2 linked regions of the Daphnia pulex genome follow. The protein of the gene in region 2 interacts with the protein of the main gene of each other region in a biochemical or structural test. Links are inferred from orthologs where the notes say so. Each region holds a gene or a part of one and is shown on either strand. Other genes may lie near its edges.

What was found.
Region 1: the proteins of transcription elongation regulator 1-like (region 2) and splicing factor 1-like form a complex in vitro, tested with the Homo sapiens proteins (3 studies listed by BioGRID). The link is inferred for Daphnia pulex from reciprocal best matches to the Homo sapiens genes TCERG1 and SF1.

Annotation. Positions count from the first base shown.
Region 1 is NC_060027.1:2,739,742-2,743,765, forward strand, and holds the start of splicing factor 1-like, read left to right. Parts: upstream 1-1,165; 5' UTR 1,166-2,167; coding exon 2,168-2,612; intron 2,613-2,756; coding exon 2,757-2,832; intron 2,833-3,405; coding exon 3,406-3,558; intron 3,559-3,620; coding exon 3,621-3,727; intron 3,728-3,792; coding exon 3,793-3,947; intron 3,948-4,010; coding exon 4,011-4,024. UniProt on the Homo sapiens protein: Necessary for the ATP-dependent first step of spliceosome assembly. Binds to the intron branch point sequence (BPS) 5'-UACUAAC-3' of the pre-mRNA. May act as transcription repressor.
Region 2 is NC_060019.1:12,732,098-12,736,331, reverse strand, and holds the start of transcription elongation regulator 1-like, read left to right. Parts: upstream 1-1,410; 5' UTR 1,411-1,560; coding exon 1,561-1,570; intron 1,571-1,660; coding exon 1,661-2,133; intron 2,134-2,197; coding exon 2,198-2,357; intron 2,358-2,421; coding exon 2,422-2,663; intron 2,664-2,728; coding exon 2,729-2,774; intron 2,775-2,831; coding exon 2,832-2,912; intron 2,913-2,980; coding exon 2,981-3,075; intron 3,076-3,136; coding exon 3,137-3,269; intron 3,270-3,327; coding exon 3,328-3,553; intron 3,554-3,614; coding exon 3,615-3,760; intron 3,761-3,820; coding exon 3,821-3,925; intron 3,926-3,981; coding exon 3,982-4,118; intron 4,119-4,181; coding exon 4,182-4,234. UniProt on the Homo sapiens protein: Transcription factor that binds RNA polymerase II and inhibits the elongation of transcripts from target promoters. Regulates transcription elongation in a TATA box-dependent manner.

The DNA of each region.
Region 1 (4,024 bases), on a different chromosome or scaffold from region 2:
TGGATGTGTGCGCTTCCACCCGATGTTTATCGTCACAGTTCTTTCTCTCTTTTTTTATGATTTAAATTGCCCTCGTCTCCTTATTATGATTTTTTTTGTTTCCCGTCAGTATCTCGTCTTCATTCGAACTTTACAGTCGTCTAGACTTTGTGTTTTCATCATTATCCCCTCTTGAATCCTTGATTTCCAGGAACAATTGGACAATAAAGCACTTGTTTTTTCTTTTAAATTGCAGTCGTTTGGTTGTCATTGTGCGCCAAAGTAGAATTCGGCCGTGGAACGAACCAAAGAGCTTACAACATGGTATTCATTCTGTCCTTAATTATGTCCTTATAGAAACAGTAGGGGAAAGAAAAAACGGGGCGTTTGTGGTTGCGTCGACACCGATTGTAGTAGATTTATTGTGAGCAAAGTTTTTATTTTCACCTTGGAACAATCGAAATCAGGACGCAATAATTTGATCAGGAATTGGAATGGTTGTGTGTGTCCAAATACTGGAAATTCGAACGTAAACCAGTTGAGATAACGTCTTTAGATTGAATAGCAGATGAGTCAAACTGACCGTTGACTTTCTGGTTTACGATTCCCATACAAGTCCGTAAAACATTATCGCCTCTGCTGGTTTTTGAACTCATGAGCAGTGGGAGGAGTCGAGTTTACAATTGTCATTGACCTGAGAACAAAAAGAAGAAAGATGGGCTTCGTTGTGGGATTTTGTCGTGACGCTGGGGCCGGTTCTTTTAGGAAAATTAATAAATAAAGAAGCAGTGCCATCTAATATTCGTGAACTGAAATACCGTTGGTTTCAGGATTTGTCAAAAAATTATTTCAAAGGTAAAATTTAGGTGGCGATTTCAGTAGAAGGAAGAATTCGCGACTGTTCCACATATGCCAATTCTTTCATGTAAACAGAGCGCGACCATGTTCAGGATCGCGCAACCTCTCGCCAATTTTCATCTCCAATGGCGGTGAGGCAAACGATGGTCTCCTGTTCCAATTATATTACTATGTAAAAAAAAGGAAAAAACTAGTACCCAAAAACCCTGCCGACGCTGGGAAGGGCTAGTGGGTGTTTCCATGAGAAATAAACTTGCCAAGTCATCAGCCTCAATTAACCACTATCGTTATGAAGGGGAAAAAAACGACTGATAATTATCGTCATTAGTTATCTAGAAAATGGCCAGTGTGGTTGTAGAATTGTGGAATTCCAGCTTGGGATTTTCCACTGGAACTCAATTGCAAACAAACTGGTGAAATAACTTCCTGCAACTAGGACATTTTTATCTAATCACCCTCATCCCATTTAACTAATAACGCTATTCCAAAACACAAAACAAGTGACCGAAATTCAGTCGTGACTTTTTCACCTGTGGAGCAAAGTAAATTACATGTGGCCTTCTTAAATGAGTGGTGAAGTCGGACTATCGAAAACCGATTGATGTGATGGGCCTACATGACACGCAACAGGATAGATAATTATAATTGACGTGATTTATCAATGATTTTTTGAAGCCATAGTGCCATACAAACAAGCAATGATAGCAAAGCCAAGCAAAGCTGATTACGAAACCCATTCAGTGTGACAACTGTGACACCTTTATGTTATATTTCAAATGAGTCTGTTAGATTGTGGTACCTATTTAAATAGATTCTTGTCATTGACATGTTAGATTGTCGTGGTTTAACAATTATACGACCACATCATTTGGAAATACGAAAAAAATTCTTGCACGACTTTGGCCGTTACTTAGCGGTGAACTTTAAATTAGTGATTGTCTTATCATTCATCATAATCAAACCTCTAGATTTTAGATTAATTTATGGTTACTAAAGGTTTTGTAACTTTTGTTGTTGGCACTCGGCAATGAAAAGGTTTTTAAACAAATGAAAGTGAAAGTGAATTACGATTTATAAATAAAGACCGAGCATTGCCACATTGCCAAGAACGAATCAAAATGCGAGTTAATCGATAAATTAAATTTTTCATTAATTTGACAATGTCGCGTCAGCCATCTTGGCGTCTCATCGCGTCGGGCAATAATTCGGCTCTCATCATTTCAATGTGCGCAAAGTTAGACGCATTCTATTTCTGACATTACGTGTTCGGTTAATTTCTGTCCGATTGTCCACGATTTCAATTGAATTTGACCATATTTTGCTATAAGTCATGCCGAGTAACGCTCATTCAACGGGTGCCAATACTACACCTCTGGGCAGGGTCAATCCAGCTCTCACCGGTGGAAGAAGACAAGCAACTTCTTCGCTTTTAAACCCGAATTATCTGAATTCGGATGATGAAGGCTCACACGGAAGCTACGAGCAAAAATATGAGCCAAAGTACGAAACAAAATACGAATCCAAATTTGATCAGCCATCTACAACTCCCAGCTACAGCTACCCCACATCATCTTCGTCCACTTCTGCCAGTGCCAACACCTGGAAACGTGGACTGGAAGATAGCAACAACTCAGATGACAATTCACTCGGTGGAGAGAAAAAGAAGAAGAGGCGTTCACGCTGGGGTGGAGATGAGAAAGAAAAGACCTTCATTCCGGGCATGCCAACTGTTTTACCAGCAAACTTGACAAAGGACCAGGAGGAGGCGTATCTAGGTAATAGTTCTGTGCATCTGTGTAACTTAATTTTTGAATATTGTGCATTCTCATCACTTGCGTACAGGAGTGCATATTCTGTCTTGTATGAGTGTATTAACTGATTCATCATAATATTGTGTGTATTGACTTGTGATTTTTCAGTCCAATTCAAGATTGAGGAGATAACACGGAAACTGAGGACTGGTGATTTAGGCATTGCTCCCAATCCAGAAGAAAGGTTTGATATATAAAGCCAATACTAATTCGTTTCTTTCCCAATTTTTCATAGTTAATCAAAATTAAATTGTTTATATTTCAATCTTTTTTTTTTTTAATTTGTCAGCTAGGCATAAAACAATTCATTCTTTTTTATCCATTGATTGATCTATATCCATTCCCTCCAAAGACCTTTCAGGTTCTTACAAATGAGCCTAGGTTGTGATGATTAATTGGTTGACATTTTAATCTTTTTTTCACCACAAACCGAAATCGTACTAATGCCGTCTGTTAGGTTCAGATGTAGGGAGCCTATAATTTGATTTTTTGAACCTTTACAGGACGTGCATTTATTTTCAAAGAAATATTCTAACGTTCAATATAGGCAATTTATACTTGCCATTTTTTAAAATTGCTTTTTATCTCGATTTTTCTCATTGCTCAGCTGGACGGATGGATAAAATTTCAGAACATTTAATCAATTGCAAAAATAATAACTTAATCAATTTACAATTATCCTCGTCTAAATTCAGAATAAGAAAAGATAGCTCATTTTCGTATTCCCTTTGTTCTTTTTTTCCTCCTTCATTTTCAGATCGCCATCACCGGAACCAATTTACGGGACGGATGGTAAAAGGCTGAACACCCGGGAGTACCGGATGCGTCGTAAGCTAGAAGAAGAGCGCCACTCCATGATCACCAAGATGATTTCCTTAAATGCTGACTTCAAACCCCCTGTAGACTACAAGTAAGATCATTTATCTTAGTTACCATGTCTGCCCTTACTTATCACTTTCCTTGTATTATTAGACCCCCTATGACGCGCGTCTCCGATAAAGTCATGATTCCGCAAGAGGAGCATCCGGAAATCAATTTTGTGGGGCTGCTGATTGGTCCACGTGGAAACACTTTAAAATGTAAGTTTTTTGTTTATTTATTTAACCGTAACATAACATTAAACCCGATCGTTATATTTTACCAGCTATGGAAAAAGACACTGGAGCTAAGATTATAATTCGAGGCAAAGGATCAGTCAAAGAAGGAAAAGTAGGTAAGCCTTTGCCAGGCGAAGATGAACCTCTGCATGCCTATGTAACCGCCAATAGTATGGAAGCCATTAAAAAAGCTGTCGATCGAGTGAGTATTTCCATCTTGAAGTAGAAAAAAGAACAATCAATGACGCTGTTTTTGAATTGACAGATTAGAAAGATCAT
Region 2 (4,234 bases):
TGGTCACCTGCTGCTTTTAGATATTAATATTAGGTAGAGGCTTTCCTTTGCATCACTACACATTTCCTGGTGAAATGTGGGATTTCTCACAGTTATTAGACATGGCATCAAACCATGACCTAACTTAAGTTTTTTTTTTTTCTTTTTTATTGGAAAATGTTATTTATACCCATCATTTTCAAGCCTTGACTGAAGGAACTTGTGTTCATAAATCGTTAAATTATTATCTTTCATATCAATCACTACCCGTAAAAGGACCTGTTGGAACACCTATATTGCAACCAAGTTGTGTTGTTGGTTCTACTTTGCATTCACAGGAGAAGAAAAAGCCAATTTTTCCACATATTTTCAAAAATTTATAAAGACAATCATTCACTCACCTTTTCCTACTGAACTGTTATTTCTTATCATCTTTGTTCATCAGCTTTCATATTTTTAAAAATTTATCTCTTTTTACAACAGACATTTATTCTTGTAAATTTAGGATTTCATGATCCAAGTAGACAAGCTCAGCTCGTGACAATTTATAACATTATTCTAACGTATTTCATGCGTTTAGAGTTATGATACCTGAACCACATTTTTATCACATCCTTTGCCAAATGAATGTCTAGATCAAAGTATGAGTCTGATGGCAATATCATTCAATTGCGCTCAACTCACGCTACCAACCAGGTCAAGACATATGAGTGACTGATCTCTTCATATTCTATACTACATGTTACCTTCAAGCATTTAATTATATATCAATGTTACATAGATTAGAATATTAAATAGTACTATATAAACCCCGACATGTTACTTAAAACCTCCCTTTTTAAATGTTCTATTTCTATCCAAAAATTGGAGCAACTTATATTGATACTCTCCTTCCCGCGCGAGTGGAATTTATACTTTTTATACGATTTATACTCAATGTCTTGAGAGGTGATATAACATGTATAACATAACGAACACCATCACAGTTTAACTGGTAGATGAGTGATCCAAGTCAGATCCTTTATTGGCTTTTTTCTTTGTTAACATTTCAATATTAATGCAATATTGCCAATACATAACTGACCCCACACAACAGTTGCGCAATCGTTTCATCTAATTGGACATTTTCTGCATGAACACCTCACTAAACAATTTAATAACTTTTCAAGAATTCGAAGAAAGCGGTAGCAAAAGCTATTAAAAGGATCTTAACGTCTAGCCATGGCTTAGCACGGTCGGCAAACTCTATGTCTTCCCTAAATTATTTTTTTTTTGGCCAAGAAAATCTTTGTAATGTGTGTAATAAAGCGATACAAAACTCCAAATACTTAAAACGCGATGAACTAAAGAATTGGTAAAATCATCCATAAGCTAAACTATTTGAACATGAAAGAATTTCGCGCTAATTTTGCTTTGCTTGTTCACCACCCTCTACCGTCAGTTTGGTAAACTACCGTCACTTTAGTAATGGTCGTCAAAAATGCTGTGACTCAAGCAAATCTCACATCGCCGGAATAGAAATTTTGTTTAAATAAAAGTTGTTGACAATAATCATTCTTTCTGGTATCTGAATTATCTACAATGGATAGCGGTAAATATATCTGATGGATTATTATACGACACTTCCTCTAGAAAAAGCAAGATTCGTTACTTACTAGTTTATTTGAACGTTGTCTTGCAGGGTCCGAAAACAACGATTCATTTTTCATCGAGGGACCCTCTAACACTGGCCCTAATGCAAATGAGGAGAATTTCGCCGATGATGGAGACTTTGGCCCACCCATGTCTTATCAACAACAGCATTATGGTGGACCTAGAGGCCCACCAGGAATGGGGCCTAGAGGACCGATGGGCATGAGACCTGGCATGAGACCATTTGGTGGAGGTGGTCCAATGGGCCCCCGTCCACCGTTTATGCAGAGAGGACCACCAGGAGGACATGGTGGATTCCATGGCCCCCGTCCAGGTCCACCTCAGCGTTTCCAAGGCCCACCACCAAGAGGTATGGGCCCGATGGGAGGGCCACGAGGGCCACCTCCAAATATGATGCAGGGCTATAGTGATTATCCTCGACAGATGAGACCCCATTTTTCACAGGAACAGAATGGTGGTCGCAATGGCGATTCAATGGATGGCTCTGGTGGATGGGATATGGTAAGTCAGGAAATGTTGCCTCTGTTGACAGTAGTCCAATAACTCACAAACATCTTACTTACAGCAAGGTCCACCTAATCAACCAAACGGTGGTGGCATGGGCTACATGGGTGGCCCACCACAACAAGGACCACCTCCGAGTTATGGTAATGTACCACCTCCCCATAATCAACATTATGGAAATATGCCTCCTCAACAGCCTACAGCACATGGATACGGTAACGGTAAGTTGTCTTGAAATGTGTTTAGTTTTTCATGGTACTCAACTTTCACTAATGGATTACATAGGTGGTCATCCTGGTTATCCTGGATCTGGGATGGCTCCTGCACCTGGTGGATACCAGCAACCCCATCAGTCTCAACCGCAATCTCATCTAGCTCCAGTTAGTGAAATCGACGCATCAACTGACGAAGTCTGGGTTGAAACGAAAGCAGGAGATGGTAAATCATATTATTATCATGCTAAATCAAGAGAGACTACTTGGACTAGACCCGAGGGGCCGAACGTAAAGGTTTTGACACAGCAGCAGGTAATTCGTAAAATCAGTCATCTTTCCTAAATAGAACCTGAACTTATTTTATTATTCACTCCTAGGTTGAAGCAATGGCACAGTCTGCAGCATCAAAGCCCCCAGAAAATGGTAAGATCATTTATAATTGCCCTTAAAACGAAACTTATTTTTATATTTAAATGGCAGGAGTGGCTATGCCAACTGGACCAACTCAAGGTGGTAGCTATGGACCTGGAGCTCAACAGCCATTCTATCCAGCACATCAAGGTCTGTATTCATTTTAGTTTCATTTTAACTAGAGTAGAAATAATATTAAGGGTTTTTTAAATTTCCAGGTTGGAACATGGGGGGTGCAGTGGCTCCAACACCTGCACCTGCATTGTCGGCTGGACCTGTTCCATATCCCGTTATGTTGGGATCTGATCCAGGGGTAATCATCTTTTGACCAAGTTTTTATCCAGTACAAATTTTTAATGCGTTTTGTTTTTCAGACTGATCCCATACTATTGTCACAAGCAATGGAATGGTGCGAATACCGTTCTCCTGATGGCAAGCCTTATTACTTTAATGTGAAATCATCATCGAGTGTTTGGGAAAAACCACAGGCTTTGAAAGATTATGAAGGTAATTCCCAACTTATTATTGTTTGTTCTGTTTTTCTCAAGTTTTCTCTTTGTTGTAGTGGCTCGCCTTGCCGCAGCAGCCCGAGTTCATGCCACTCCTTCTGTCCCAATTGCCCAACCCGTTCAGCCTGCTTCAATGCCCGAGGTTGCGAAAAAAGAGGAACCCAAAGTCTCCGAATCTGAAAAGGCAGAACCAGCGAAAGAAACAAAGGAAAAAGAGGAAGTTAAAGTACCGAAAGACAAGAGCAGACCCGTTTCTAGCACTCCGGTGCCTGGAACTCCATGGTACGATTGGTTTTAAAGGAGTTTAGTTACAATATATACAACTATTATTATTATCATGAAGGTGCGTTGTTTGGACTGGTGACGGAAGAGTATTCTTTTTCAATCCAAGTACCCGTTCTTCCGTCTGGGAGAAACCAGAAGATTTGAAAAACCGACCTGACGTCGACAAGTTGATAGCGAATGTCCCCGATGACAGTCCTCAACAAGGTATCAATATCTACTCTTTAAATTTGAAATGTGGCACTCGTAACGTTTTTATCCTTGCAGTTGATAAGAAAGATGAAATTAAAGAAATCAAGCCAGATAAAAAGAAGAAAAGCGAAAGCGGAACCGATGAACCTCCTCTAAAGAAATCCAAAATCAATGACGAAGGTAACATCATTCAAATTTTCCAAAGACAATTTAATGAAAAGAATCTCTATTTACAGTCATTGAAGAGGTTAGAATCGAAGAACCTACCAAAGATACTGCCATGGAGGCTGAGGTGAAAGCTGCTCAGCAGAGAGCTGTGATTCCCCTCGAGGATCGTGTTCAGCAGTTTAAAGCCATGTTGGCAGAGAAAGAGGTAGCGCAAGTGCAAAACTTTGTTTGTTTTCATTCATCACGTAGTATTGAAATTTTATTTTAGGTTTCCGCTTTCTCAACCTGGGAAAAAGAATTACACAAAATCGTTTTCGATTC